7 linked regions of the Rattus norvegicus genome follow. The protein of the gene in region 5 interacts with the protein of the main gene of each other region in a biochemical or structural test. Links are inferred from orthologs where the notes say so. Each region holds a gene or a part of one and is shown on either strand. Other genes may lie near its edges. The genes, in order: Abcc4, Tbc1d10a, Abcc2, Nf2, Nherf1, Ezr and Pten.

Region 1 (4,538 bases), on a different chromosome or scaffold from region 5:
CTAGCTGGTCTCAGCTCCACGGGCTCCTCAAGCATCATCCTGTCTTAGCCTTCCAAGAAACTGAACTGTAGGTATGCTCTGCCCACACCCAGTTCTCTTCACCTACATTTTGAAAGTCCACTCACGGGAAAGTCATCAGGAGTTCTGTGTGTTGCCAAAAGCCCAGGAGACTGAGACAGTCCGCCTGCTTTGAGTATTATTATATTATTATTATTATTATTATTATTATTATTAATTTCCCACACATCCCTTATTATGCTCCTCTTTACCGAGTGTCCAAAAGGATCCTGCACACACTGTATCGGCAATTGGAACAACAGTAAATGACTCCGAAACTCCCTAGGCTTTCTCATTTTAAAAGGGGAACATTAGAACGTGAGAAAGACAACATGGCAGAGGTCAAGAAATAAAAACTATTCTAGTTAGCCAAGCGTGCCCTAGCCAGCCCAGGTTACTAGGTGGAAAACTACTTAGGAATGTCGTTTATCTAAGCCTCTTCACCTGTTTCCTACAACGAGAGGGGCGGGGCTGGGGCCAGATCAGATCTGGGAACCCACTCAGTGGTTTTAGGCATCGAGAACATGGATCCTGTCTCTGAGGACTACGGATCTTGATAAGACCCCCACCACCACCACAGGCTTCAGAAACTCATCCCCAAGAGTGATATGGTCATCAAAGGCAGAAGGGAAAAAAAGTCCATCTAACAAGGAAAAGCATATTCCTCTACCCTCCTTCAGTCAAGAGGGAAACGTCATGCAGATCTTGCTCAAGGGTAGTGTCCCATCATAACTAAATAAGACATCGTAATAAAGTGATCTTTTAACCCACAGCCATAGTAAGATACTAGGACACACACAGAGGGGTCAAAAAGAGAGGCAGGGTCCGGGAAGCTATTAAACTTCCTTCCTTACACACACACACACACACACACTCACTCACACGCAATCGATGAACCTGAAAGATGTCTGGTAAGGTGTTTCGGAAGGCGATGGGGACACTAGCGTTTGGTGTTGGTCCAGGACTCTAGCTTCAGCTGCGATTAGACAAAGCCAGCTGTTAACAGCTGCTTAAAGAAAAATAAAGAGGTGCAGTTTGGGCAAGGGAGTTGTGCAAGCCCTGAACCGAGATGGAAAACTAGCGAAGGTGAGCATGCCGGGTTCACCCTTCCCGGGCACCCTCGCACCTCCCACGGATCCCCACGCTTTCGGGTGGACGCCACCTGTGTCTGCCATCGGTCCCCGCGTGCCCCTCCCGGCGGGGAGCAGCGCGAGCGTGGGGTGCGGGCGGGGACCGCAGGCGGCGCGGCGCACGCGCGGCAAGGAGCCCGGGATGTGTGGCGGTGTAGGGAAAGCATCCTCTGACCGTCCGGGACCAGCGCGGACCACGGACACGCGGCTGAGCCGGCGCGGGGCGTCTCGTGGACGGCGGAACGGGCCCAGGCAGGGCACTCACCAGAAGAACAAGCGCGAGCAGAGGTTGGCGTCCTGCAGCGGGTTGGGTTTCACCTCGGTGTGCACCGGCAGCATCTCGCCCGCGGTGCGTGCGGCCGGGAGGCGGCTCCAGGAGGCGCGGGTGAGGATGTTGGAGCTCCGGCCGCCGCGCCGGTCCGCTCGGCGGGAGCCTCGGAGGCAGGCAGCGGCTTCCGGGAACCCAGCGCCAGCCCGCCCAGACCCCGCCTCCCGGGGTTCCTCGGGGCGCCCGCTACGCGCTGTCGCCGCCGCCTCCTAGAGCCCGGGAGCGGCTTGTCGCGTGAGAGCGCAGGAGAAAGGAGGCTGGGGAAAGGCGGAGACCGCGCGCAGGTGCCGGGCGGCTGCTCGGGGAACACGGAGCCGGGCGGGGAAGCTGCACGTGCTTGGGACCCGTTGCAAACTTTGCAGGAGTTTAAGATCAGCGCCTAAGCACCACCCTGAAGGTGGCGGGGGCGGTGCGTGCTGTGCCCGCCCCCGCGCTCGGAAACGCCCCCTGGGCTCTGCGCTCCTGGAGATCTGGAGAAAGCCGCCTAGCTTTGCCTGCCCTCCCCTGGCATGCTGCCCTCATCAGGACCAAATGGGGTGCTGTAGGAGATTCCCCCACTTGCAGGCCAAGAGTCTGACCTGGAACAACAGCAAGGTTTATCTGTTTGCCTTTCCCGACCTGAAAGCCGTGAAGACAGTCAGGCCACCTGATATTAGGACGCTAGGGTTTGGGGAGATGAACGAATGCTGCCATTTCGGGCGGCTTCTTGACCTTTCTTTCCTACATTGCTTGGCATGGCGGACCTGTGTAAGCAGTTGGCTGTCCTCTTAGATTGGGTAAGGGAAATCAGATAATACACCGCCTGGCCTGTTTCTTTCACCGAGCCCTGAGAGGCTCGCAGAGGATCAGTGGCGAGAGGAACCGATATTACAGGACCCCTCCGTGTGCCGTTCTGTAGACCTACTCCACTTTTAATTTACTTTTCGAGATGGTTTTGCTATTTTACTGAGTAAATTCAGACTCAAGAGATCCAGCTCGTCCGAGAGCATAAGGTTAGTGATGATGAAATCTGATTTGTACTCAAGTTGGCATGTGACCTTGAACTGCTTTAGGGATGGTCAAGTGAGCATGAGAGGTGCCAGGCTGCACTGAGGAAGATACGGTCCTGGCTTTTGGACTCCTGCTCACAAGCCTTGGTTTCTGTGTTAACTGCCTGCCTCTCTGCCCGTTCGGTTCACTTCAGCACTGGGTAAGGAAAGAAGAGCCCTTTAGAATTCACGGTGGTAGGGACAGTTTTACCCGTCCTTTTGATGTGAGAAAATACTCTGACCAGAAGTAGCTCGGGGAAGAAAGGGTTTCTGTCAGGCTTACACTTCCACTGCAACAGTCTCTCCTGGAGAGAAGTCAGGCCAGGAGCTGAAGCCACAACCCTGTTCTGTTGAACTGGTAGTGCTGACTCCAGATGTCCTCACACCATCTCCAATGGGACACTCTCTCACAAAGGCCATAGGTCAAGCCCATCTGGGAAGCTCTTTAGTTAAAGTTCCCGATTTTCTGGTGACTCTAGGTTGTGTCTGGTTGCCAAAAAAAAAAAAACAAAAATAAAATTAACTAAGTCAGCTTTCTTTGGTCATTCCTCCTGTGTTTATTTAAAGGTATAACAATACTCTGTACAGAGTCTTGGTGCAAATAAGCATTTGTTTAGAAGTCAAGTCATGTGTGGTGCCCACAGATTTAATTCCATCAATTTGGAAGTGGAGACAGGAGAAACAACAACTCTAGCCCATCTTTGATGGCTAGGGATTTCCTAGCCAGACAGACATACATGAGAGGTCAGAGAGCAAAAATAAATACAGCTAAAAGGAATTAGCCAGGCAGCAGCACGCTAGGCAGGAAGGTATGAAGTTCAAGATCGATGGGACACCTAGGGAGTTCTAGGTCTAACTGGATATGTAAAGAAGCTGTTTTTAGAGAGAAGAATTGAGACAGGGTCTCATGTATCCCAGGTTAGCCTCTTAACTCCGTAAATAACCAAGGATGACCTGGATCCCCTGATCTCCCAACATCTACCTCCCAGGTGCTGGGATCACAGCCATGTACCGACATGTTATAAATGAGTTTTGGAGCCCAGAGAATATCCCAGTAGGTAAACTGCTTGCCTTATAAGCACAGTGGCCCAAATTCCTCCCACTATCAAAAAAACAGGCATGGTGGCCCACATTCCCAGCTTGGGATGGAAGGCAAGGATCCCTGAGGACGCTGGTCCTCCAGCTTACCCTAATTCACAACTTCCAGTGCAGTTAGAGACCCTGCTCCAAACAAAACATAGAGAGTAGATAGCACATGCACACGCGCGCGCGCACGCAAACACACACACACACACACACACACACACACACACCCGAATTATATGTATTTACATAAAAAGCATATAAAAATATATAATAGATGTAAAGTCTGAGCTCCTCAGGAGGCTGAGGCAGCGGAAGAATATCTTGAGTTAAGGACTTCAGGACCAACCCAAACGACTTATCTGTTTCTGAAAATTAGTTAATTGTTTAATTAATTGGTTAAAACTCAGGTACACAGAGTAGCAAGGTGTTGATGGTTTTGAGCTGAATGACGTTTATTGCATGGCATTCCGTGGCATGTGTTTCAAACATCCTGTTGCAGAAAGGGAAGCATTTCCACAGGAACGCAGAGCTCCCATCCATGCACCCTCGCCCTCCATGGTTTCTCATACGTCAAAATCAACAGGCCTTACCTAGTTCCTGGTGCTCTTTAAAATGCCCTGCATTTTCTAGCCCAGGCGTTTAATCATCTGCCGGTTCTACTTCAAAGCCTGAAATTCAGTTTGGGAAGTTAGCAGTCTAGTGACTTGCCTTGTGTCTGCCCCATCCCCTGCGATAGGGGACTGTGTTGGGACTGCAGATCCCATTAGCAGGCTCCAAACCGTCAAACCTTCCCTTCAGCTTCTACTGAGCAGTGTGCTGGCTTTTAGTTTTGTTGATCTGAGCTACTTCGAAACGTCTTAGCATTCTTTTCTGAACACTAACCAACGTGGCATTTAGAAGGAATACTGA
Region 2 (2,902 bases), on a different chromosome or scaffold from region 5:
AAGGCTGGGACCATCTCATTACCGCAAGTGTGGGCAGAGTGGGAAACCTCAGGGGTGAGAGGCAGGAGGCCGAGTGTGTGAAGCTGCCCAGAGCCTCTGGTCAGCATTCGCCTCTCGGGCCTCAGTATCCCCGGCTGTACCAGGAGGACATTCTAGGCCCAGGCAATGCCTGAAAGTTCCCTGTGAGTCTGCCTCTCCCTCCCTGCTCCCTGCTATGGTCTGACCCAGCTTGGTCTGAGGCCAGGAACAACCACTATTGTTTGACTAGAAAAGCTGCTTCCTCAGCAGAAGGGGGGCCCTCTCCCAGGGACACCCTGTTCTCGTCACTGCCAGTTATCAGGTTGTCACTGAGCACCTGCCTGCCCCTCTACGGCAGTCTGCTCACTTGGGTGAGGGGCTCGGGATACAAATGTGGCTCTTGGAGGACAACATAGAATTCCTCTTATGTCAGGCACAGGCCCAGCCTGGCACGTGGACTGTGTCAGCAGATAGAAAGTAGCATTGTATCAAGGAGGCCAACTTCTCCCCTTACCTGTCTGCCTCAGGTGGAGGCCTGTGTCAGGCGTCTGCAGTGCCTTGCCCTGGTGGCAGCCCCTGATGCTGTGAGAGTGAGTTCTCAAAAGTTACCTGGGATCTGAAGTGAGCAACGCCTCAAAGTTCCTACCAAGGCTGTTTTTCCCTAGTCCCTGCTATGGTCGGCATCTAGATCTGGTCTTGGTGGAGGAACAGCTTTAGGCTACCTCTTTAAGGTCTACTCCCCACCCCCAATAAAGAAGCACAGACCAAGGTGTTGGGGACGGACGATTCCCTGCTCTGCCCCAGGGGTGGGCTTCAGCCTGGATTGACTGTCAGGAGGTGGACATGGAAGCAAAGATGGGTTGAAAGAGAAGAGCCAAGAAGAGCAGCTGGTTCTGGACTTAGTGTCTCCTGTACGTTTCAGAGGGGCTCCTGCTGAGGGACGAGGGATGATATCCCTTTGGGTCCCCAGCTACACGTCAGCTCTATATACAAGCCTGTTTATTTCCGTACAAAACCATATTTTCTATTTTACACAAAGAGTACCCCACCGCTTCCCCGCATGTCAGCACCCAATCCTTGGGGAACATCCCCCAGAAGGATGGGGCTGAGACCCAACCCCTTTGGCCACAGCTTCTGCCTATGCTGGCTGGACCAGCTCAACTCAAGAGAAAATAAATAAGGAGGCTCAGGTAGAACCTGTACTGGACCAGCCAGATTCTATCCCAGCCCAATGGCCAAGCAGTTGGTTCCTCAGGTGCAGAGGACCTGGAGTGTTGTCAGTCTTTGAACCGTGTAAGACAAGAGAAGACCCCGCCCGGAGGCTTGAGCTCCTGGGGTTACAAGTAGGTGTCCTCACTCTCCTGGGAGGTCAGGCTCTCTTGGGAATGGTGGTAGGCTAAGTTCTGAGGAGTAGAGTCCTGGGGAGCCGGGTCCTGGGAGACTGGATCCTTTGGGGGCGCATCCTGAGGAGGACATGCATCTCCTGAAGCAGTCACCACTGTGGCTTGATTGAGGCCTGGGGACTTGTCCGGTTGCCCACTGGTCTTTGTCCGCTTCTGCTCCTTCTGGGCCTGCTTGTGTGGCTTAGTCTTGGAGCTGGGGAGGGCTGCATCTGGGGGCAGGCGGATGGATGGTGAAGGTTGCAGGGCAGGTCGGGGACCAGGCTCTGCATCCAGGATGGCCTTGGCACCATGCATCCTGGGTGGAGAGCGACACTCCAGCTCACCGCGGGTCTCTTGCCAGCGCCGCAGCTGGATGAGGTGCTCCCGCTCAATCTGGCGCTCCGTCACAGGCAACTCTATCACCTTAGGGGCAATGAGGAACATGTGAGCACCAGAAGAGTGAGACCTTTCCCTCCTGCTGTCCTGCCCACCAGCATCCCTTAGCTGTCTGCTAATGGCTGACTCCATGGAGGATATAATTGTGGTCTGAGTGCCAGACATGGAGCCAGGGCCTCAGAAGGGACAGCTGGAGATGGGCACAGATGACCTCGTATGTCTGCCCCTGCAATGTGCACTAGGATGAGCCTGGGTGTGGGGTGTGGTCCCCACAGAAGCTGGCCATATGTGTATCTCTTAGTTTGTAGCCTCTGAAAACAAGTATCCAAAAAGAAAATAAGGGGCTGTAGATTGCAGCTCTTCTCTGTTCCCCAAGTGGAGTGGACCAGCTAAGACACTGCAAAGTGCCTCTTGGGCCCAACCCTCCTCACCTAGCAAAAGGATGAGAGGTCCAACCACCCTGCCCTGGCCTGACCAACCCGCCCTTGGGGCGGGGCCATGCAAGGCTTCCTCCAAAGTCAACTGCCAGCTCCCCTTCCCTCCCATAGCCAAGTGGGAGATGATGGTCCACACCTCCTGAACCAGGAAGGCTTCCTGCATGATCTTGGGGCTGAGGCTCCGCAGCTGCTCGATGGTTTCATACTGGCCCTGGCAGGCTCGGAGTTTCTCTGGGGAGCCTAGGGCATGCTTCAGCAGTACCAGCCCCACGCGGAAGATGATCTTGACTCCTGTATGGGGGCAGGTGATGAGTCCAGGGAGGCTTTGGGGCTTCTCTTGCAACCCCCTCCCCACAATCCAGCATAGTCTGGTACCTTCACAGAAGAACATGTCCCAAACTCGCAGCACAGAGCTCCAGGGGAGCGTGCGGGCAAAAGCACACATGAACCACTCCGTCATGTACAGCAGGGGGTCAATCTTCTGGCGGCTAAGGTGCTTGTGAGCCACAGGGGACACCTTCTGTAGCAGTGAGAAGAGGATCTCGCCATCCAGCTGGATTGCCTCCTGAAGAGACATCAAGGCCACAGCGCCATGACCATAGCCCCTATGAGTTCCTAGTACTGGGTGAACATTCAGTAATTCATCAGGTAGCTAGAACCCTAGAGCAC
Region 3 (4,098 bases), on a different chromosome or scaffold from region 5:
GGGAAGGTAACAAAGAAAATCCTGGGAGCACAGCAAGCTCCGGGCACTCACTTCAGCAGCTGAGGATTCAGAAACACCAAAAGGTCATGTATTAATTTCAGTATAAATGATTTCAGGATCACTACGTGGAAGGTTTTGAAGAGAGACTTGATCAACCACGATTTGGGATAGTCTTTGGTGGTCTTCTCAGACTTCTTTTTCGCTTCTTCCTAAGTACAAGACCGAAAAAAAAAAAAAAAAACAAAAAAACAACCGTGTTCACAGAGTTGTGCAGTACAAGGATGGTAAGACTGTGTGCTTGGAATGGCTCCAGGCTTCTTCAGCAGGGCCTGTGAGCCGGCTACCCTCTCTGTATAGTCGTAATCTTCTTCTCATCTCCTGCCCACACTCCCTGCTTCTCTCCCCTGCTTCTAACTCATAATCTCTTTCAGATTGGAGAAGCAGATGCGTAAACTAGAGAGAATGCATCACAAAGACTCATGGACAGACTTCCGGTACTCCGGAGGCTAAGGTGGATTGTGACTTCGAGGCCAGCCTGAGCTACACGGTGAGTTCAAGGCCAGCCTTGACTACATTTTTAAAAAAAGACTTTCAAAAACCCAAGGTCTGAAGTTGTAGCTCGGCATGTAACATGGCCCCAGACCTTAACACAACTGACTCCATGATGGCAGTACCACAATATTCAGCACAGAGACAGTACCAGCCACCAAAAAGAAACAAAGACCCAACCCATCAAGACCACCCTTCGGTCTCTTCTCTTTTACATCAATCTGCCTAACTGGCAAAGACCTTCTGCGTATTGCCCTGCCTCCATTTCTCATTTCCTATAGGAACGCTAGAATTACAGATACTTGTACTATGGTGTCTAGCTTTTATCTAGGTATTCAAACTCAGGTCGCTAGAGTCCTCGTGTGATAAATGCTTTTAGTCACTGAGCCATCCTCCTAGCTCTTCTAATGCTGCTGCTATCATCATCATCATCATCATCATCATCACCACCACCACCACCACCACCACCACCACCACCACCACCACCATCATCATCATCATCATCATCATCACCATCATCACCATCATCATCACCATCACTAGTATTTTATACTACAAAAAACTTCAAATATATTCAATAGGAGAAACAACAGTATATTATACACGGATGCATCGACCACTCAGGCCTTATTAGAACTGTGCATCCCACTAATGTAAACTGCAGTGCAAATATATAGAATGGTATGAAAATGTGAGGAAAGAAAAAAAAATTCAGAAACGACTCTGCTTCTTGCCGGAGACATACAGTGCATTCACACGGACACTTGAGTTAAAGTTACCAGGACGAGAACGTCTTGGCTCTGACTCTGCTTCTTGTTCAGTCCGTGTAGTGTGGCCTCAGGTTTCCGCTGGGACTTCTGCAGCCGCCTCTGAAAAGCCTGCCTGGCTTTCTGCAGGTCCTTTGTCATGGCCGCCTCAAACTTGCTGGTGACTGACCTTGTTTTAAACCCTTCATCGATATCCCAGACATCTTCTAGTGTCAGTGGATGCTTGTAACCTTTCAGAACAGTCCTGGAATGAGAACAGTCCACAGGCTGAGTCTCTCTGGGCTACGTCAGTCTGCTTCTGTCAGAACCTATCCTCCAGATCTGAGGCAGAGGATGAAGCATTGGACTTCTCTACTGTTCCACTGTCTACATCTCCTGGTCCTTTATTTGACAGAAGCGTGGGGGGAGAGCACAGAGACAAGAGAATATGCTAGAAGACAGGATGGAGAAGAGACGGAGAGAGGCTCTATTGAATCAAAAGTCCTCCTATGGCTCCTTCTCCATCAGGTACCGGCCACCTCTCTACACTCTGACAGGTCCTCGAGGGAGCTCCATGATGCCCTTAGGAAATGGAGTGACCTCACCACTGTCTTCACAGTCTATGTCTAGATCGGGCCTATCCAATTCAGGGCTGGAGAATGTGGATGGAAAACTAGCTTCACCTTTATTTGTAACAATCCATAACTGAGATCCAGCCTTTTCTCCTAATATGAGCATAACATGGTGTCTTTGTTACCAGGAGAAACCGTAGATGTTTCCATAGCTAACTCACAGTAATTGCTGCTTTCAAATTATGATTCTTATCAGATAGATAGTTAGGATATCCTTGTTGTTAGATATTTAAATTTAATGAGTTGATTTTTAAAGTATGTGCATTACTATATCTCAAATTTGCTTTCTTTAGCTTTGAATTATGTATGTATGTGCATGTGTGCCTGTGTGCCTGTGCATGTATGCCTGTGTGCCTGTGCGTGTGTGTGTGTGTGTGTGTGTGTGTGTGTGTGTGTGTGTGTGAGAGAGAGAGAGAGAGAGAGAGAGAGAGAGAGAATGTATATGCACACATGTGCCAGTGCCTGTGTAGAGTGGAGGCCTGAGATCCCACGGGAGCTGCAGTTACAGGAAGTGAACCACTTGATGTGTGTGCTGGGAACTTATCTCAGATCCTCTGAAAGTAAAGCAAGAATCCTAGCTGTCGAGCCATCTCCCCAGCCCCACGGACTCGCTCTTTAGATATTCTGACCATGTTTATACCCTGTGTCTAATATTTCTAAAACACTTATGGGCCTCATCAGCCTGTCAGAAGGTTCACAAACTACAAAGATATCCGTTGTACCCTCTGATAGGCCAGGCTGCTGTGTCTCCCTTCCCCTCTCCCTGGTCCACACTGCCTGCCTCCATGAACCCCTTTCTTGTCTCCTTCTGTTTCTCCTATGGAACGCTCAGAAACGATTACCTTCTAGTTTCTCCTCCTCATTCTAATGGGTCCAACAAAAGGGCTGGCTTGAACTGACCTACACGTTTTAACACTCTTAGACTCTAAATCGAAGAGAAGTGGAGGCCATGGGAGGCATTTTGTTTTAAAATTGAGCGTTATTTTCACTTTCAAAGAAGTGAGCATATCAGGATACAGGAACCCATACTCCGGGCACTGCTTACCTGTCATACCAACTAAATGTAATGCTACTCAGAAAGGAAGCCGTGACTGATGGAGTCTGAAAAATAAAATCATCAAGAAGTAAGTCGGTTGGAAATAAGAACTCTGTGGGGGTCTAAAATTAGACACTGACTTTCTAGACCTGGCTTTAGAAACTCAGCTATTATCCATGTGCTGGCTGGTCAGTGTGCTTACCCCGAGGCACTAACACCAGACGTTCTGGCATAGATATGAGAGTTAACCGTCTGTGCTGCACACTTACAGGTGACTATGGAAGTCAGTATTCCTACATGGTCAGCACTCTGTTGGTTTATACATAAAACATTCGAGACTACAGGTGGAGTATCTCTTCTCTGCAATTTGGGACGGAAAATGTTTCTGGTTTTGAAGTTTTTTCCAATTTGCATTTTTAATATTGTACAGTCTTTGTTTTGAAAATTTTCAAATCTGGGGGAAATTTGGATGTTAGAGTTTTGGGTCAGTGATATCCAATCTACCCTTATCATGAGACCTCCATGAAACCCAGACATCTCCAAGGTTCTGCTTGGGCATCCATCAATGAAATAATATAGGGAATTAGTGTATGTAGAGTCTCACTTGTGTTGAGTCACTTGGTCCTGAAAAGGCTGTAAGAATCAGGAGGACAATCTGGAAACCGTAGGAGACGAAGAACAGGTAGGAGTAGGCCATGTTGGACTTGCTGTCCTGTGGGTGCAAGATAGGCAAACAATCAAACAAAGAAACAAAAAACCAGAGTCTTTTATCACAATCGGGCTTACGGCTGAAAGCCCTCACTAAGCCCTTTGGCATGACTCTATCCCCAAACTAAGACTGCTTGAGGCTGTGCTGTCTGACCTCTATTGGCTACCAGAGGCTCTGGAACAAGCATCTTTGTAGGGAAGGAATCTCCCTTTCCCCCTTACCTTCAGGAGTGCTCGTATCAGAGTCTGAAACTGGAATACGCCGCATAAGACCGAGAGGATCCAGAACAGAGACAGGAACCAAGAGTTCTTTCGTACACACCATTGCCTGCTGTGCTGGACTGCCAAAACCAGGAGCTAGAGGAAAACGTAAAACTCAGAAGAGCAGTGCCGCCACCAAGGGCAGAGAAAGATGGCCGCCAGGGAA
Region 4 (4,098 bases), on a different chromosome or scaffold from region 5:
TGTTCTTTTTTTCGGAGCTGGGGACTGAACCCAGGGCCTTGCGCTTCCTAGGCAAGCGCTCTACTACTGAGCTAAGTCCCCAACCCCTTATTTCAGTCTTTAGAACATCAATGCCTTCTCCCTTTAGAAAATTTAGGATCCGTTCATTTGTAGCCAAACTCTACTTTCGCAACTGAGTTACCGTTGAATCAGGGACCTTGGCCTTGGCCCTACCAACTCTCGGGGAATAACACCAACCATTATCTGGGAGTGGTCCTCTGCTTCAAGGATATAGAGTCCCTGTCTCTACTGCTAGCTGCCAGCAGCACCACTCCAACCTTAAACATGTCCTGGGGCTGGGATGTGGCTCAGGGGCAGAGCTCTTCTCTAGCATGCCCATGGCTCTCTGTTTTTATTTATTTTTATGTCTTCGTTTGGGGCCAGGGCTGAGTAGGAAGAGGCAGGTTTCCGATATCCCAGACTTGACTTTGAACTCATTATATAGCCAAGGATACGCTTGAACTCCTGATCCTCCCTGCCTCGTTTACAGTGATTGCATAAAAGGCACACCTGCCACGCCCAGCCTACCTTGATTCTCTAGCACTGCAAGAAAATAGTCTCCAGACATTTTCATGGCAGTGGGCATTACAGACCTGCTTTTGAGTCACTGACTTAGAGGGTCAGGACCGAGTTTTAAGTTGAATACTCCCTCACAAGCATACCTTTAGCTGCAGTGCATTCTATACACAAATGCTTTTTCCTTTCGGTGGGCCCTGCAGGGCCCTGCAGAATACTTGTCAGACAGACCCGGAGTGTCTTAGCGGGAATCGCAGGAAGGTTAAGACTGGCTCTTCGCTGCTTGAGAGAGTTCAAGAGCACTGGCTGCTCTTCCATCGGACCCAAGTTCAATTCCCAGCGTCCACCTGGCAGCTCATCACCTTCTGTAACTCCAGCCCCAGGAGATCCGATGGCCTCTTCTGGCTTCTAAAGTTACTGCATCTGCATGTACAGGTGCACAAACATTTATGCAGGCAAAATACCTATATACATAAAAATAAAAGTTAGAATGCTAAAAATAAATAGAAAGACCATACTTAGGTTTTACATGGGTGCTGGGGATTTAAAACCAGGTTTTGTTGCCTGTGCAAGGAGGCCAGAGAAGCAAGTGTAGTGTCTGAGACTGCTCTCCCCACATGCAGCTAGGCACTGAGCCTATGCTGTCTGAAACACTTGCCTTCTCAGATGCGGTCTGAGGAAACAGCTGACCTGTTGGCTGAAAAGGCTCAGATCACAGAAGAGGAGGCCAAGCTTCTGGCTCAAAAGGCTGCAGAGGCTGAGCAAGAGATGCAGCGAATCAAGGCCACAGCCATTCGGACAGAGGAGGAGAAGCGCCTGATGGAGCAGAAGGTGCTGGAGGCTGAAGTGCTGGCGTTGAAGATGGCTGAGGAGTCAGAGAGGAGGTGAATGGTTGGTTGTCATGGGCACTGGGACTTGGTAAAGGGTTGTTTACCTGGTTTTGACCCTACGGGAGCTGGTTGTAGCATCTTCAAACTTGTCTGTTGTGGAACAGGACTATAAGACATCTTCCTTGACAGGCTGGTGGGATTGGAGCTGGGGGGTGTGGGGCATAGAATATAGGTTTCCAGAGAATCTCTGTGTCGTGCCTCCACAGCACACAGCTGTCCTTCTAATAGTGACGTTTGTGTGGAACATGTTTAAGCCCATTCATAGACTGCTTTGACCAAGTTGCTGCTTCAGAGAGGAAGAGGCTCTTCAACATTAACAAACAGTGTGTGATGGTCAGGTAAGGCCTGGAGAGACAGCTCAGAGGTTAAGAGCACTGGCCATGTAATTCCAGTTCCAGGGGATGTAACCTCCTCTCCGGCCTCCATGGGCACCAGGTATGCTCATGGAACACATGCAGGCAGATACCTTTATACATATTAAAATAATTTTTTAAGGGGAGGATGAGGGCAGGGAGATGGCCTACTCAGCAAAGTGCCTGCTGCACAAGTATGAAGACCTGGATTTTTATCCCCAGCACCCACATAAACCTGAGCCTCAACACAAGAGTTGAGAGTGAAGCCTCACTAGCCAGCGTGTCTAATTGAATTAATGAGCACATGCTTAGTGAGAGACCTCCACTAAGGTGGGGACCAGTAGAGGATTATAACAGGCACACAAGCACACCCACCCGCCTACCCTTGGTTTTTTTCTCTTTTGATATAGATCAGTGGGGCAACTATTTACTTCAAAGGGAAACTAAGTACCCATTTCCCAGTGGTTTTTTAGGCAGTTAGGAGAGCAGGGAAGCTGTGTTTTTTGACCAGGTTGCTGCAGCTTGTAGCCAGGTTGAAGGGTAGAACTGTTGTCTGTACTCTTTAGACTATTCTAGGCTCTGAATTGTTCTAGTCCTGCAGCCTTCCGATAAACACTGGCATATTCCCCACGGCATCTGGCTCTGTTGATTTAGAGCCCTTGAATTTGGCTCTTAACTAGGAAAGTACATTCACTACACTTTTTCTCACCACTGTCTGCATGTCACTCTGAGAATATGGTTCCTTGATGCCTGCCCACTCCAGGCCCCTTTCTGTGTATGGGTCTATTTCTAGGGCTAGACCTCTGGGCAAGCTTTCTGTGCTACTCCTAACCTGTAGAGCAGGGCTTGTGATACTCTTCTTTGCCCAGCCAGACCTCTGGGTCCTACCCACTCCTCCTCTTCTCCATCTGTTTTGTTGTTGTTGTTTTGAGACAGTGTTACTTTATAGCCCTGGCTGGCCTGGACTCAGTCTGCCCTCAAACTCAGAGATCTGCCTGCCTCTACCTTCTAGTGCTGGAGTGAAAGGCATTGGATACCACACTTGTTATTTTTGTTATTTTGAGATTGCCATCTGCCTGTGTTGCCCGGCTGACCTCTGATTCCTTGGCACAGACACAAACTATTACACGTTTCTGGCTTGCAGAACTGCCACTTTGGTTGTTTCCCACCAGTGACCCCACGTTTCAGTCTAGCTTTACCTTTAGGATAATCGGTTCTCAGGAATACTGTTCTTACTTTAGAAGTTCTGGCTTCCTGTATGTCCCTGTCACCATGTCCTGGTTTGCCTTTTTCAGTGCCATGTACAGGGTTAATCCAGGCCATCTCCCTGACCCCTTCTTTGGAGCTGACTTTTTTTTTTTCTTTCTTTGCAGGGCCAAGGAGGCTGATCAGTTAAAGCAAGACTTGCAGGAAGCCCGAGAAGCAGAGCGAAGAGCCAAGCAGAAGCTCTTAGAAATCGCCACCAAGCCCACATATCCAGTGAGCCTGGGCTCAGTCTGGCAGCTTTTGGCTGATTTAGTCTGGCAACTTTCCTAAACCTCCAATCCAACCCTTTAGTTTACCTCACATTGCCTTCTGGGCAACAAAGCAAGTTCAGGGCATGGATAGGACCTTCTTGGTCTGCCATTTAGCCTTAGGCTGACCAGTCAATTACCTCTCTTGGTACTTAGATAACAGATCATAGGGCCCTTTTCAACTTTCGAGTGTTTATGACTCTGCTATAGTCTACCCTCAAGAGAATTTGCTGTCTAGCTCCCTACTGCCTAGCTAAGTGTAATCTTCAGTTGTTGGTATATACTATATGTTACAGTGTAGTTCTGTGAAGGGACTGAGTATACACCTCAGACCTCAGAGTGAACTACTGTTGTGCCAGAACCAGCTGTCAACCTCCAATTTGGGACAGGTAGGATGACATGTACTAAGTGCAGTCACAAGACAAGTAGACCTTGCTCCCTTCTTTTCTTCTGTACATTCTACTCTGCAAAGTTTTCACTCACTTTTCTTCTATTTATATAATATCATCAACCGGAAATCTCTATCCTGACAGATATGCACAGGTGCCCAGACAGCCCAGCCTTGGAGGCAGAAAAGCTTGGCATGACTGACTTCTGCAGAGGAGCAGGGAAGAGAGGATGGAATATTCTAGGCAAGGATATAGTATATTTACACCACAGACTCATAACTCATTCACACATATGTTACACGCATACTGCATGGTTGTATACATGACAACACACTGTACATTGGTACACATGGTACATTCACAAATGGCACAGGTGCATTTAGGACGCAGAGACCTA
Region 5 (4,098 bases):
GGTGCCAGCCCGGGCATGCTCACAGCCTCGTCACCCAGGCCAGACTTTATCCATCCACTCAGGCTGAGGTTTTGACTGAAAGAGGTGTGGAGGCTACTGGGAGGAAGCCTGTGGTTGCGTGAGCTCCCAGACACCTGGTCAGTGTGAGGAGAGCCTCCGCTGTCTGCCTGTGACTGGCTTCGCTCCAAACGGGCTGCCTGGTTCTGGACCCAGTGCTTAAGAACAGATGATGATGTGGTGGTGGGAGTTAAGGCAGGCGGATCTCCAGTGAGGCTGAGTGGGTTTTTCCCTTCTCAAACACAGTCTCAAACACAGCGAAGCAGCTTCCAACCAGGCTGCTGTGGGAAGTCTGGGGTAAGAGAACCCTGGGGAGGGTGGGGAGGAACCTGAGGCAAACTGAGATTCCACAAACCGAGGGCCACGGGAGGTGTGTGGCTGAGGCAGAAAGTTGAGCCTGTTGTGGTGGCAACAACTGGTCAGACCTGTTCCGGCTCACCTAGGCAGCCTGGGGGAGGGCCCGAGGGTGATGGCAGCTTTGTACAGGGGATTAGCTGGAAGGAAGCGAATCCTCACTCGGAACTCCTGAGGTGCTGGCGGTTGGGAGGTGGGGCTGCTGGAAGGGAGGGGCTAGGTCCCAGCAGGGTGAGGAGGGGCCTTCCGTGGCTACCTTCTCTTTGCTGCCCATTTGGTTGTCTTTGCTGTTTGAGGTGAGAGTTAATTTTTTAAGTAGCCACTGGGGAAAAAAATCCCAAGTATCAACTTCTCTGTCTTCTGTACCCTACCAAACACCCCGAAACAAATATACAGTGCCTGCCCAAGTGTTCTTTTTTCCACCTTTAAAATTTATTGTGTGTGTGTGTGTCTGTCTGTCTGTCTGTCTGTCAGAGTGCCATGGTTAGAGGTTAACCTGTGGGAGTCACTTCTCTCCTTCTGCTTGGTAGCAAACGCCTTAACTGGATGAGCAGGCCCCCACCCATCAAGAGTGAAGGGTTGGCATCGGAATGCTGACACATGGAGCGCGGAGGGGCTGGGGGAGGGCTCCCTTCACTCTTTCCTGCTCTCCCTTGCCTTTTGTAGCCCCAGCTAAGGATTTGGGTTTCAGAGCAACCTGGCACACTACCCTCCTCCACCCAGCATCTCAGAGTTCCTGGACTGTTCCTTAGGAGCAGGAACAGTGGTAAAGTGTTGGTATGCAGAGGGACTTAGTAAGAACAATGGTGACATCCAGGTCCAAGAGCTCCAGAGGGTTGCTTTATACAGTGCCATTATGTCATTGTGCCCCAAAGGCAACCAACGGGGTAGGCAGGGTAAAGGCAATAAGCATCTTCTATAAAGGAAAACCCTGAGGCCCAGAAATGGAAATGATTCGCCCCAAGTCACAAGGTAGTCAGGGACCTTAGGGTAGGTGACCACCCAGGGTTAGCCAGCCAGCCATTGTCCAGCAGGCTGCCCAGGCTTGGAGTTAGGGTCAGAGTAGTGCTTTGCTTCCAACTCCTGCAGCCTTGTGCCCATATTCTGTCCCATCTGTCAATCAGTGTGAGCATCAAGAATCCATCTGTCAGCCAGCGTACTGTGCGAGCGTCATCAAGGTAGTGGCTTCAGAGCCGAGCCTGCCTGAAGAGAATGGAAAACGGTGAAAGTTTTTCCCAGCTGAGTGCACAAAGGACAGCCGTTTGCATCCTTTGGGAGGCTGGTGAGATGGCTCAGTGGGTCAAGGCACGAGCTACCAAATCTCACAACCTGACCTCCCCTCACCCCCCATGGTGAAAGAGCACCAACGCTCACAAGTTGTCCTCCGACCCCCATATGTCGTGGACGCTGGTGTATGCATACTCTCTTTCCCGCACTGAGTAATTTTAGATGAAAAGTAACAGGTCCTGCTTTCCAGGCCACGTAGATGACATTGGCCCTGCCCTGCTCCTCAGGGCCTCCTCCCCATATGAGTCCCTGGGGATTAATGAGCAGCGCCCCACCTGTCCCACCTCTCCCAACCCCCATTCCTGTTGCTCCCTATGTCCTGGGCTCGATATGTCCTGGGTGACCTGAGGATGGTCCCTTCCACCCCGGGATCCTTCACCCTGACACCTACCAGGTTTCAGTCTTTCTGTCTCACATTTGGCTGGGCCGCCTGGCTCACCCAGGTCAAGAAGGGAGCCCACTGGAGAAGAAAGGCTTTACTGTACACAAGCTGTCCAGCTCTCAGTAAACAGCTATCCTTGCCTTCACAACAGAGAACAGATACATGGGCCAGGTGCCCACTCCTGAGCCTCAGGTATCCGGCCAGGCTAAGAGGGCCAGATGAGCCCTAGGTGGGGCAGGATTCTACCCAAGGAGGAGCAAAACATGTAATAGAATGACAAAGAGGGGAGCTAGCCGCCGCAGGGACAGTGGCTTGTTTAGAGCCACTCAGTCTGCTTCAGCGCTGTGTCCATTCACATCTTCTGAACCCTGGGCCAGATTCTCTCGTATTGCTCTAGAGTCTCCAATCACCATTGGATCGTTCATGAGCCTTCTAGGTGGGGAGGTAGCATTGGGCTGGGTGGGCAGAGAACACAGGGTCGGGACAGTAAGGAATGACACGGATGCTTCTTGTCCCTCGCAGTGTGAGCTCCGACCCCGGCTCTGCACCATGAAGAAAGGCCCCAATGGTTATGGCTTCAACCTGCACAGTGACAAATCCAAGCCAGGCCAGTTCATCCGAGCAGTGGACCCGGACTCACCAGCAGAGGCGTCTGGCCTCCGGGCCCAGGACCGGATTGTGGAGGTGAAACCCTTTACCGTGATCTCCAGGCTTTTCCCTCCTAAGCTTTGGTGCTCTGGGGCAGACTTCCACCATGTGTGGTTTGGTTAACCCATGGGAAATGGCCAGCGCAGAGATGCTGGATGGCAGGCTGCTCTGAGGGTAGACAGGAGGAAAGGGGGTAAGGGAAGGCTGGAGGTATAGCTAGCAACTTGGTGGGCACACAGACTGGCTGGCTGGCTGGCTTCTTTTCCCATCTCCGGTTCCGGTTTACCACGTATACGCTTGATTTACCTGCTAAAATCTAGACAGATACCACTGGCTGCCCTCACGGCCTTCTTGATGCCTGGCATGAGGAGGGGTTAACCCCACCCACCCCCACCCTCCTGAGCTTAGCTGTGAGACACCCTGTCCTTCGACTGCACTCAGGAGAAGAAATGTGAACTAAAGGCTTGGGCTGCTCCCAGAATCACAGTCTGAGAACCTTAGAGCCACAGATCAGCCTTTCCAAGACTTCTCACTTTACACGTGAGAAAACCAAGGCCCTGAGCGGGAGGTCGGTCAGAAGAGAGCCCAGCCCAGGCTCCCAGGCCTCTCCTCGATCACAGCTGTGTTTGTGTAGTCTCCTCTGGGTATTTTCTTTGGCTCTTCCCATATGTCCTGCTTCCCAGCTGACCGGCAAGAGAACCACTGGGAGGCACGTGAGGGAAGGCAGTGTTCTTAGGTGGGACCCCCTCCACCTACCCTCCCCAGCAACCCATCTCTGCCCTGCCTCTCAGGTCAATGGCGTCTGCATGGAGGGCAAACAGCACGGGGACGTCGTGTCTGCCATCAAGGCTGGAGGTGATGAAGCCAAGCTGCTGGTGGTAGACAAGGAAACAGATGAGTTCTTTAAGAAGTGCAGAGTGACCCCGTCCCAGGAGCACCTGGATGGTGAGTTCACAGTTGGGTGCCCCGAGCCAGGGGTGTGGCCAGTGCCTAAGGCCTGGTCAGACATGGGGGATAGTTTCTTCGATTGTTCTTTCTCCTTCCCAGACAGCCAGTGGCCCAGAGTGTCTGAAGGTGGCAGGTGACAGCAGTTAAATGGCATGAAGGAGAGGGTTAGGGTTTCAGTCTGTACTGAAAGGCATGGATGGCCTGAGTCCTTCTCTAGTCCAGTGAGTTCTGAAGCTATCCCTCTGAGAAGAAAGAGTTAACTCTCTGGGGCAGCCTCTTGCCTTTGCTGGGTAGATCAGAGTCCAGTGACAGGGGCCCAGTGCTCCCCTCCCCCCTTTCTGTCAAGTTACCTTGGAAACTCAGGCTTGCTGGCTCTGAAGAGCTGTGGGTCCCCTTCAGTCCTGGGCCCCTGCCCTCCCCCA
Region 6 (3,618 bases), on a different chromosome or scaffold from region 5:
AATGGTTCTGGGATTGGACTTTGGCCTCATGGGAGCTGTCTGGGACTGTGCCTGGCAGGATTTGGGGTGTCTCTGTTCAGTTTCCCTTACTCTTCCACCTGATGTTTGCTTTTAGGGCCTAGGCTGTCCATCCTCTGAAAAAAGCCTCCCCTGGTCTCTCTTTATGGCATTAAAATGTTCCCCAAGGACTTGAACTCACAACTCTAACTTGGAGTCACAACTGACTTCTGTCAAAGGCACAGGAGAAATTCCTTCTCCTCACCCATCCAGCTGCCGCTGCTAACTCTGGAGTGTTTTCTAGTAGTTTCTGAGTCTGTTTCTTGTAGGCAGGGGTTGGGGGAGCCTCATGTTAACCTGTAGTTCTAACTCTGGGATTGTTGTGATGGTTTTTTCCTAAAGGGGAGTTGGTGCATTTCTTTGCACGTACCTGTGAGTCACAGTGGGACATTTTTGGGCCCTGTGCCTTTGAGGCCATGGGCCAAGGTTGTTTTCTCCTGTGCGATAAGAGATAGGTGGGTAATAAAAAATTCCTGTTTCTCTTAGCCCTGTGGACTCCTCCCTGAGAAGCCCAGTGACTTAATAATCAGTCTGTGAAACCAGAGGGGAGCCCCACCCAGGAAGTTGAGGGTTCCAGGCAGCCTCCTGTAGTCAGGGGAACTAAAGGGCCACCATTTGGTGTGGTACATTTGGAGGGAACCAGGAGGCATTTCTAAATAGACCAAGCCTCCCCACTGTAAACTAAGCTAATCCTGGAAGGAGCAAGAACTTAGGAGGCAAGGTTGTCTGTGGCCATGGCCCTCAACCCGTGTGTGTATACTGGTGACAGAGTTTCCAAATACTATGCTCTGCCCTCCTCTCTGAGAAAGAAACCGCCTCCATTGTGAGCACATTAAGGCAGCCGGCCCAAGCAGCCTCTGCACATAGCAGCCAGGGTTTACCGTCCCAGGTACTACTAACACACTGTTCCAAGTTCCTTGTGACTATTTTTTCCGACTTAGTCTTATGGCCTTCCCATTATACTGTTGCCCTTGTTCTGTGGCCATGAGGCTGAGTGACAGAGTGTAGGATGCTCGAAGGTGTGACGGCGAGCTCAGGGGTAGTCAACATGGTTGGTAGGCCTGACACCGGAAGGCTGTGGTACATCCCTGGTTCAGGAATCCAGAGCAGTGGGTATCAGGGCAGTCTGTACGAGCCCGAGAGCTGAAGGGCTTGGCAGGAGATGCGGAGCTCAGAAGTTAAGGTGAGGCGTACACAAAGGGACGGGCAAGGATGAATGGTGACAGGCTGGGGAGCTGGAGAAGCAGATACCAAAAAACATGGTACACTGGGAGGCCAGTGATAACCAGCTTCCTCAGTGCAAGCCTCGCTCTGTAGGCCGAGATCTAGCATGTACACACCCAAATATACAAGTGGATGCACATTCCCAGGACCCCTCCCACTTGGCCCACTGAGCATATATTCAATATACAGGGATTGGCCCCCCTCCTCTATGGCCTTTGGCCTTTTAGAGAAGCCAAGAAACTCTTGTGAAGTGTGGTCTTAGGAAAGAAGGCCATTGAAGGAACTGAGGCCAAGGCCGCCCTGTTGTGTTTTGTAGGACTTCGTGTTCTACGCTCCCCGCCTGAGAATTAACAAGCGGATTCTGCAGCTCTGCATGGGGAACCACGAGCTGTACATGCGCCGCAGGAAGCCCGACACCATCGAGGTGCAGCAGATGAAGGCCCAGGCTCGGGAGGAGAAGCACCAGAAGCAGCTGGAGCGGTGAGTGACCAGGCAGGACCGTCCCCGTGAACTGTTCTCGCCTGGTTTATCACAAACCATCCAGACACAAGCTATGGCATCTCTTTGCTTGTAGTGGCAAACCAGCAGCTACGTCTGCAGGTCTGGGTCTGTGTGAACCTCACCCTTCCTTCCTTGTCTCTTCCTCTTCCCTATACCAGACAACAGTTGGAAACCGAGAAGAAGAGGAGAGAAACTGTAGAGAGAGAAAAGGAACAGATGCTCCGGGAGAAGGAAGAGCTGATGCTTCGGCTGCAGGACTTTGAGCAGAAGACCAAGAGGGCAGAGAAAGGTCAGGAGCTCATGCTGCCCGCCCTTCCCCCACAGTCACTCCGAAGTTGGTTCCCCCAGAGAGTCAGGCAGGGTTGGCTCACAGCCAAGAGGGAACTTGTTCAAGAGTGCTGTCTCTGTTTAATACAACCCCATCCCCACCCCCAGACAGAACAGAGCAATGGCAGTGCCATCATTGAGAGTAGAAAGCAATCCTGTGCTTTATTACTGTCTGTGCCTGCCATTGATCTCACACACACACACACACACACACACACACACACACACTCACTCTCACACTCTGCTAAGAATGTTGAACTTTAGTTAGATGCCACATCCCCTCAGCACATACCGGCTGTCACAACCAGCTCGTGACGTCTCTACCATACATCCCAGGCCCTGCCCTGCAGCCCTGCCCTCTGAGGACATTTTAGAATAGAGAAGAGATGCTATTCAAGCAGGCCATTTCTATGTCCCAAGTCAGAGTCCAGGTGATGAGTCGTTAAGGCTATTCTGCCTCAGGCTGCCATTACTGGGGTGCAGCAGGGTCAGAGAGGTCAGACCTGGCCCCAGGAACCATGATATCTGACCAGCTGCTCCTCAGTGGTCTCTCAGCACAACTGAGGAAATTATCTTAGCAGCGGCAGGAATGAGCCCCGAGCTGTCCCTGCTCACAGCCCAGTGACTCAGTCCAGGACTTTGTGATCGGGAGATGGGCTTTCACTCAGTCTCCTTCAGCCCACTTGAGGTGGGACTGGGATGCTAAGGCTCATTTCCTGCCCGGGAGTCTGAGCATCCCTGACTCCATGTTCTCTGCAGAGCTCTCCGAGCAGATTGAGAAGGCCCTCCAGCTGGAGGAAGAGAGGAGGCGAGCCCAGGAGGAGGCTGAACGTCTGGAGGCCGACCGCATGGCCGCCCTGCGGGCCAAGGAAGAACTGGAGAGACAGGCACAGGATCAGATAAAGAGCCAGGAGCAGCTGGTAGGGATTGCCTGGTTTCAAGATGCTGAATTATAGAGAGGCTGCTCTTGGGGAATCAAACAAGTGACATCTGCCTTTCAAAGCGCTCAGCTAGTGCTGTAAACAGATCTGTACAGGGGGGTTGGGGGGAGGGCTGGACCTGTCTGAATCCTCAGTCAGGGAGGTGGGGGTGGATGTGGATGCTCAAGATCCCAGAGACACAGGGAGGTGCCTACATGGTCTCCTGAGCAGGAGGAGGGAGGGGGCACAGCTCATCACCAGGAAGGCCGTACATTCTTGTGGGCAAATGTTGCTTCACCAATGGACTCTGCCAGAACGATTCAGCATACCCTTTTACCCTCCCTTGTAGGCTGCAGAGCTGGCAGAGTATACTGCCAAGATTGCCCTGCTGGAGGAGGCACGGAGGCGCAAGGAGGACGAGGTGGAGGAGTGGCAGCACCGGGTGAGTGAACCCCAGAAACCAGGCATGGCCCTGGGGTATTTCTTAGGAGGGTGCACCTCTGGGGGCTCAGCTGCAGGCCACATCACAAGTTTCTGGAACCTCTTACAATCCTCTGAGGATGCCTTCTCTGTTAATGAGGCAGAAATC
Region 7 (4,574 bases), on a different chromosome or scaffold from region 5:
GAGAGGGGTGGCGGGGGCACGTGCTTGGATGTGGCTGCTTGTGTAACCAGCTCCCCAGGCGCTTGGCCCCGACAGCGCTCCTGCGGACCGCTCGTGGGTGCTATTCTCCGCTCTGACTCCGAAGAGAGGGGTTCAGCTGCCTACACGGGGCATGGGGTCCCGGAAGATCATCTAATAGAGAAGAGGGGACCAAGCTCCTGCCTCAGGAGCACACAGATAGGGGAATGGGAATTTGGAAAGTTCCCCAACTAGGACCACACGTGACCTCCTCCTGAAAGTAGTTCCGACTGCGGCTCATGTATCCTTCCACCTAGCCTTTGAGCCCTCCCAGGCCTGCTCGCCCCGCCCACTCGCTGGCTGCAGCTTCCGACCGTCCCATACTCCACACCCGGGCTCAGTAACCGGGTCCTCGAACGTGCACCGTCCGACAGGGTCAGAACTTGGCCACCGCGATCCAATTCTGCCGGGTTTTCTTAGCGGCCACGAAGGGGGAGGGGCGGCTTATCTCCTAGAAGATGGAGCCTGACTGTGATCCGGTGGACCTACCGCTGCGGGGAGCTGCGGGGCTCTTCGCCGGGAGGTGGAGGGGTGTGTGTGAGGTGCACTCTATTCACGGAGATCCACTTTGTCTACCCAGGGGTGTCCTTTGGGCCCTGGAAACTCAGGGGCAGATGTCAATGTACACGCCCCGTATGCACAATCATCATGCTTGGCTGGGAGCGTTCATCTTTCGGGCAAATGAACCCAGCTGCCTGGGAAGCAAGAGGCGGGGCAGGGAACCGGAGCCCGATGAGGTGACCCACGCGGGAGACACAATAGGGGGTTGTTCTTTGTGCAAAGACTGACACCTTGAGGACACCGTGGGGGTGAGGTGCGCTGTCTAGGTAAAGACTTGCCGCCGACAAATCCTAGGAAGCACTGCAATCTGACCACAGCGCAGGGCAGGGCGTGCAAGCCGCTCGAAAGAAACACAGGGACCTACGCAGGAAGGGTGAACCTGGCCCTGAGGTTCCTAGGGTGCTGACCAACGCGGTCAGCTAGTCCGATCCACCTGTGAGCGGTCAGCGATCCTGCTCCGCGCACCCTCGCTCGGCCACAACCTGCCCTACCCTTTGCCGGGTCTCTGCGCTGAGGCCGAAGCCGGCGTAGCTCCAGGAGCGAGCCGCGGCCACACTGGGCATGCTCCGCGGCGCTCCCCGCCCCTGTCCCACCGACGCCCCGCCCCTCCCCGCCCCGCCCCTCCCCCGGCTCGGCGCCCGCCTCTCGCCTCCCTCCGGCTTCGGAGGCGCCCGGCTCTCCCGGCTGGGTGGCGGAGGGGGCGGGCTGGCCGGCGCACGGTGATGTGGCGGGACTCTTTGTGCACTGCGGCAGGATATGCGCTTGGGCGTCGGGACGCGGCTGCGCTCAGCTCTCTCCTCTCGGAAGCTGCAGCCATGATGGAAGTTTGAGAGTTGAGCCGCTGTGAGGCCAGGCCCGGCGCAGGCGAGGGAGATGAGAGACGGCGGCGGCCGCGGCCCAGAGCCCCTCTCAGCGCCTGTGAGCAGCCGCGGGGGCAGCGCCCTCGGGGAGCCGGCCGGGCGGCGGCGGCGGCAGCGGCGGCGGGCCTCGCCTCCTCGTCGTCTGTTCTAACCGGGCAGCCTCTGAGCAGCTTCGGAAAGAGACGGTGGAAGCCGTGGGCTCGGGCGGGAGCCGGCGCAGGCTCGGCGGCTGCACCTCCCGCTCCTGGAGCGGGGGGGAGAAGCGGCGGCGGCGGCCGCGGCTCCGGGGAGGGGGTCGGAGTCGCCTGTCACCATTGCCAGGGCTGGGAACGCCGGAGAGTTGCTCTCTCCCCTTCTCCTGCCTCCAACACGGCGGCGGCGGCGGCGGCACGTCCAGGGACCCGGGCCGGTGTTAAGCCTCCCGTCCGCCGCCGCCGCACCCCCCCTGGCCCGGGCTCCGGAGGCCGCCGGAGGAGGCAGCCGCTGCGAGGATTATCCGTCTTCTCCCCATTCCGCTGCTTCGGCTGCCAGGCCTCTGGCTGCTGAGGAGAAGCAGGCCCAGTCGCTGCAACCATCCAGCAGCCGCCGCAGCAGCCATTACCCGGCTGCGGTCCAGGGCCAAGCGGCAGCAGAGCGAGGGGCATCAGCGACCGCCAAGTCCAGAGCCATTTCCATCCTGCAGAAGAAGCCTCGCCACCAGCAGCTTCTGCCATCTCTCTCCTCCTTTTTCTTCAGCCACAGGCTCCCAGACATGACAGCCATCATCAAAGAGATCGTTAGCAGAAACAAAAGGAGATATCAAGAGGATGGATTCGACTTAGACTTGACCTGTATCCATTTCTGCGGCTGTTCCTCTTTGCTTTTCTGTCACTCTGATAACGTGGGAGTAGACGGATGCGAAAATTTTCTGTAGTTGGGGTGACTATAACGTTTAATACTGGTCGCGTTTCTAGATCGTGTATTTTCTGTCTCTTCCAGTGTATTCAACCTAGGGAGTGTTCGGCTAGACGGAACTCATGCCTGCTTGCAAGTGTCAAGGCACGGATTGGTTTCTTGTCGAGCTCTGTGGTTTGTTCTTAAAATCTATTGTCCGTTAATGCAGAGTACTGTACACTGGATTAGTCGGCTCGTCAATCGAGCCTTCTAAATGAACTAAAAAAAATAGACGCTGTGGTGTCGTGCATATTTCGATTAGATCGTGACTTAGGCCCTAGATCTAGGGTATAGATCAGATTAAAATGAAAGTCCGTGCAGCACGTAGGCATATTGCCTCAGAATCTTGCAGTGATTTTTTTTTTTTTTTTAGTTTCCTGGGTTGCATTGGAAGATTTTTCTAAAATGTGACTTGTGGACTGATTTGCATAACTTTATAAGCATGGTCATCTTCAGCCTAGACCGTGCACATTTGAGGGTAGAAGTAGGTTTGTGTGTTTAAACTGAGGTAATTACAACTTTGGAGCTGCATTTAGAAGTTTTGTAGTTTGAAATCAATAGTATTATTGGAGCTTTTAATAGAACTTTTTTAAATTAGACTTTCCTGATGGGGCGTGGGATAGGATATGAAATTTGCATTTCAGTAGTATGTTCATTCACTTGGCCTTGCCATACATGATAGAATGGAGATGGAGTAGTTTTTGATCCCAGATGATGGTGTCTGTGGGAGTTTAGGGATGCTGTGTCTGTATGGCAAATGACTGCAGAGGTTAAACTCAGCTCTCACGTGAGATTTAAGGAGTAGCATGAATTTGCTGCTTTTTTTTTTTTTTTTTTTTTGGTTTCAGGTGCTCTGACCCGTTGACTTATCTGTGTGTTTTACCCTGTTTTGTGTAGAACATCAAATATAATTTAGCCAGCTAATAGCCAGACATACTGGCAAGAATGGATCACCATCTCCAGACTGTAGGTATGCTAGCTCTCTGCATACAGTAATTTACTGAGTCAGCTTGTTGAATAAGAGAAACCCAAGAATTTTAACGGCGTAGAGTCGTGATCGTCTAAAAGTTAGGTCTTTGTACTTCAAAAGTTCGTGGTTTAAAGCATTTACCGTTGCAGTTTCAGGTATGGCAGGGGTAGGAAAGAGAGGCCTCCTCTTTTGCAGAGTGGGAAGTATTGACAGAAATTGAGAGGTTTTGGGAGGCCAGTGTGTCAGGTGTGTGAAAACACAAGTTGCAGGTCTGAAGAAACAGCCTTTAAATGATTGGGCCTTTTGTTACAACCCAAAATTTTGTTATGTGACAAGCATTGAAGTGAACAGTAAGTATTTAGTTAAAATTATGTAATTGCGTAATCAGTAATAAGATATTCTTTGCAAAAGGTATTTCTTAGTTACTATTAGTAGATATTTTCATAAGATAGAAGGACAGCAGCAACTTGTCTATACATGTCCGGCTAATAGCATTATGGGACACTTTATTTATTGAAGAAAAATTTTCACTTGGAAGAGGTTTGATGGATTGCGTTAATGGTGTAAAAAGCATAGCTAATTTTGATGGAGTTTTTGTTCTGAAATGAAGATGAAGCTCACTGAAGAGCTGGCTTCACAGAGGCTAATTTTCTTTCAAGCTAAAAATACAGTTTGAGAGGAATCTTTAATTTTTGAGTTTGCATTAATTGAGAAAGCTTCACTCAGGGTGAACTTGACCCTTCTAAAAGATAATTGGAGAAAATTCCAAGTTGTCACTTGCTTCAAGGCAGTTTACTGTTGGTACAAATTAATGATAGTAATCTTCATCTAGAAGGAATAGTCAGGTACCTATTTAATTAAAAAAAAAACCCACATTCAAAGAAAGATCTAGAATGCCTGATAGACTTCTCGAAGCTTCCAAAGTACACTTCTGCTTTGCTTTGCCCTTCCCATAGGACTTCAAGATTATTTTGTAAATTTTTTTTTAGTATGAGAGTGACGTGATTGCAGTTCCTTATTTGATTTCATAGTGCATGGGCTTCTGCATGTGCAATTTATGTGGCTTAGAAATCCAGACCTGTACTTTTAGTTATGGTATGCATAGAAAGCAGTATCAAATATTGCATCAAATGACTAATAACACTTAATTTCTAGAGCTGTGGTTTGATTGAGCCCAATGTTGATGTGAAAAC

The links.
Region 1: the proteins of Nherf1 (region 5) and Abcc4 form a complex in vitro, tested with the Homo sapiens proteins (3 studies listed by BioGRID and IntAct, with this or other methods). The link is inferred for Rattus norvegicus from reciprocal best matches to the Homo sapiens genes NHERF1 and ABCC4.
Region 2: the proteins of Nherf1 (region 5) and Tbc1d10a form a complex in vitro, tested with the Homo sapiens proteins (2 studies listed by BioGRID and IntAct). The link is inferred for Rattus norvegicus from reciprocal best matches to the Homo sapiens genes NHERF1 and TBC1D10A.
Region 3: the proteins of Nherf1 (region 5) and Abcc2 form a complex in vitro, tested with the Homo sapiens proteins (2 studies listed by BioGRID). The link is inferred for Rattus norvegicus from reciprocal best matches to the Homo sapiens genes NHERF1 and ABCC2.
Region 4: the proteins of Nherf1 (region 5) and Nf2 form a complex in vitro, tested with the Homo sapiens proteins (2 studies listed by BioGRID). The link is inferred for Rattus norvegicus from reciprocal best matches to the Homo sapiens genes NHERF1 and NF2.
Region 6: the proteins of Nherf1 (region 5) and Ezr form a complex in vitro, tested with the Homo sapiens proteins (2 studies listed by BioGRID and IntAct). The link is inferred for Rattus norvegicus from reciprocal best matches to the Homo sapiens genes NHERF1 and EZR.
Region 7: the proteins of Nherf1 (region 5) and Pten form a complex in vitro, tested with the Homo sapiens proteins (3 studies listed by BioGRID and IntAct). The link is inferred for Rattus norvegicus from reciprocal best matches to the Homo sapiens genes NHERF1 and PTEN.

Annotation. Positions count from the first base shown.
Region 1 is NC_086033.1:102,179,839-102,184,376, forward strand, and holds the start of Abcc4 (ATP-binding cassette subfamily C member 4), read right to left. Parts: upstream 3,075-4,538; 5' UTR 1,527-3,074; coding exon 1,453-1,526; intron 1-1,452. UniProt on the Homo sapiens protein: ATP-dependent transporter of the ATP-binding cassette (ABC) family that actively extrudes physiological compounds and xenobiotics from cells.
Region 2 is NC_086032.1:83,305,277-83,308,178, reverse strand, and holds the end of Tbc1d10a (TBC1 domain family member 10A), read right to left. Parts: intron 2,799-2,902; coding exon 2,609-2,798; intron 2,525-2,608; coding exon 2,370-2,524; intron 1,824-2,369; coding exon 1,356-1,823; 3' UTR 1,001-1,355; downstream 1-1,000.
Region 3 is NC_086019.1:252,630,724-252,634,821, reverse strand, and holds part of Abcc2 (ATP-binding cassette sub-family C member 2), read right to left. Parts: intron 4,029-4,098; coding exon 3,894-4,028; intron 3,676-3,893; coding exon 3,568-3,675; intron 3,029-3,567; coding exon 2,973-3,028; intron 1,561-2,972; coding exon 1,329-1,560; intron 210-1,328; coding exon 52-209; intron 1-51. UniProt on the Homo sapiens protein: ATP-dependent transporter of the ATP-binding cassette (ABC) family that binds and hydrolyzes ATP to enable active transport of various substrates including many drugs, toxicants and endogenous compound across cell membranes.
Region 4 is NC_086032.1:83,871,364-83,875,461, reverse strand, and holds part of Nf2 (merlin), read left to right. Parts: intron 1-1,221; coding exon 1,222-1,439; intron 1,440-3,171; coding exon 3,172-3,277; intron 3,278-3,845; coding exon of another isoform or gene 3,846-3,899; exon of another isoform or gene 3,900-3,944; intron 3,945-4,098. UniProt on the Homo sapiens protein: Probable regulator of the Hippo/SWH (Sav/Wts/Hpo) signaling pathway, a signaling pathway that plays a pivotal role in tumor suppression by restricting proliferation and promoting apoptosis.
Region 5 is NC_086028.1:100,912,030-100,916,127, forward strand, and holds part of Nherf1 (Na(+)/H(+) exchange regulatory cofactor NHE-RF1), read left to right. Parts: intron 1-2,602; coding exon 2,603-2,764; intron 2,765-3,519; coding exon 3,520-3,673; intron 3,674-4,098. UniProt on the Homo sapiens protein: Scaffold protein that connects plasma membrane proteins with members of the ezrin/moesin/radixin family and thereby helps to link them to the actin cytoskeleton and to regulate their surface expression. Necessary for recycling of internalized ADRB2.
Region 6 is NC_086019.1:49,375,265-49,378,882, reverse strand, and holds part of Ezr (ezrin), read left to right. Parts: intron 1-1,597; coding exon 1,598-1,761; intron 1,762-1,940; coding exon 1,941-2,071; intron 2,072-2,868; coding exon 2,869-3,029; intron 3,030-3,378; coding exon 3,379-3,471; intron 3,472-3,618. UniProt on the Homo sapiens protein: Probably involved in connections of major cytoskeletal structures to the plasma membrane. In epithelial cells, required for the formation of microvilli and membrane ruffles on the apical pole. Along with PLEKHG6, required for normal macropinocytosis.
Region 7 is NC_086019.1:240,042,338-240,046,911, forward strand, and holds the start of Pten (phosphatidylinositol 3,4,5-trisphosphate 3-phosphatase and dual-specificity protein phosphatase PTEN), read left to right. Parts: upstream 1-1,369; 5' UTR 1,370-2,229; coding exon 2,230-2,308; intron 2,309-4,574. UniProt on the Homo sapiens protein: Dual-specificity protein phosphatase, dephosphorylating tyrosine-, serine- and threonine-phosphorylated proteins.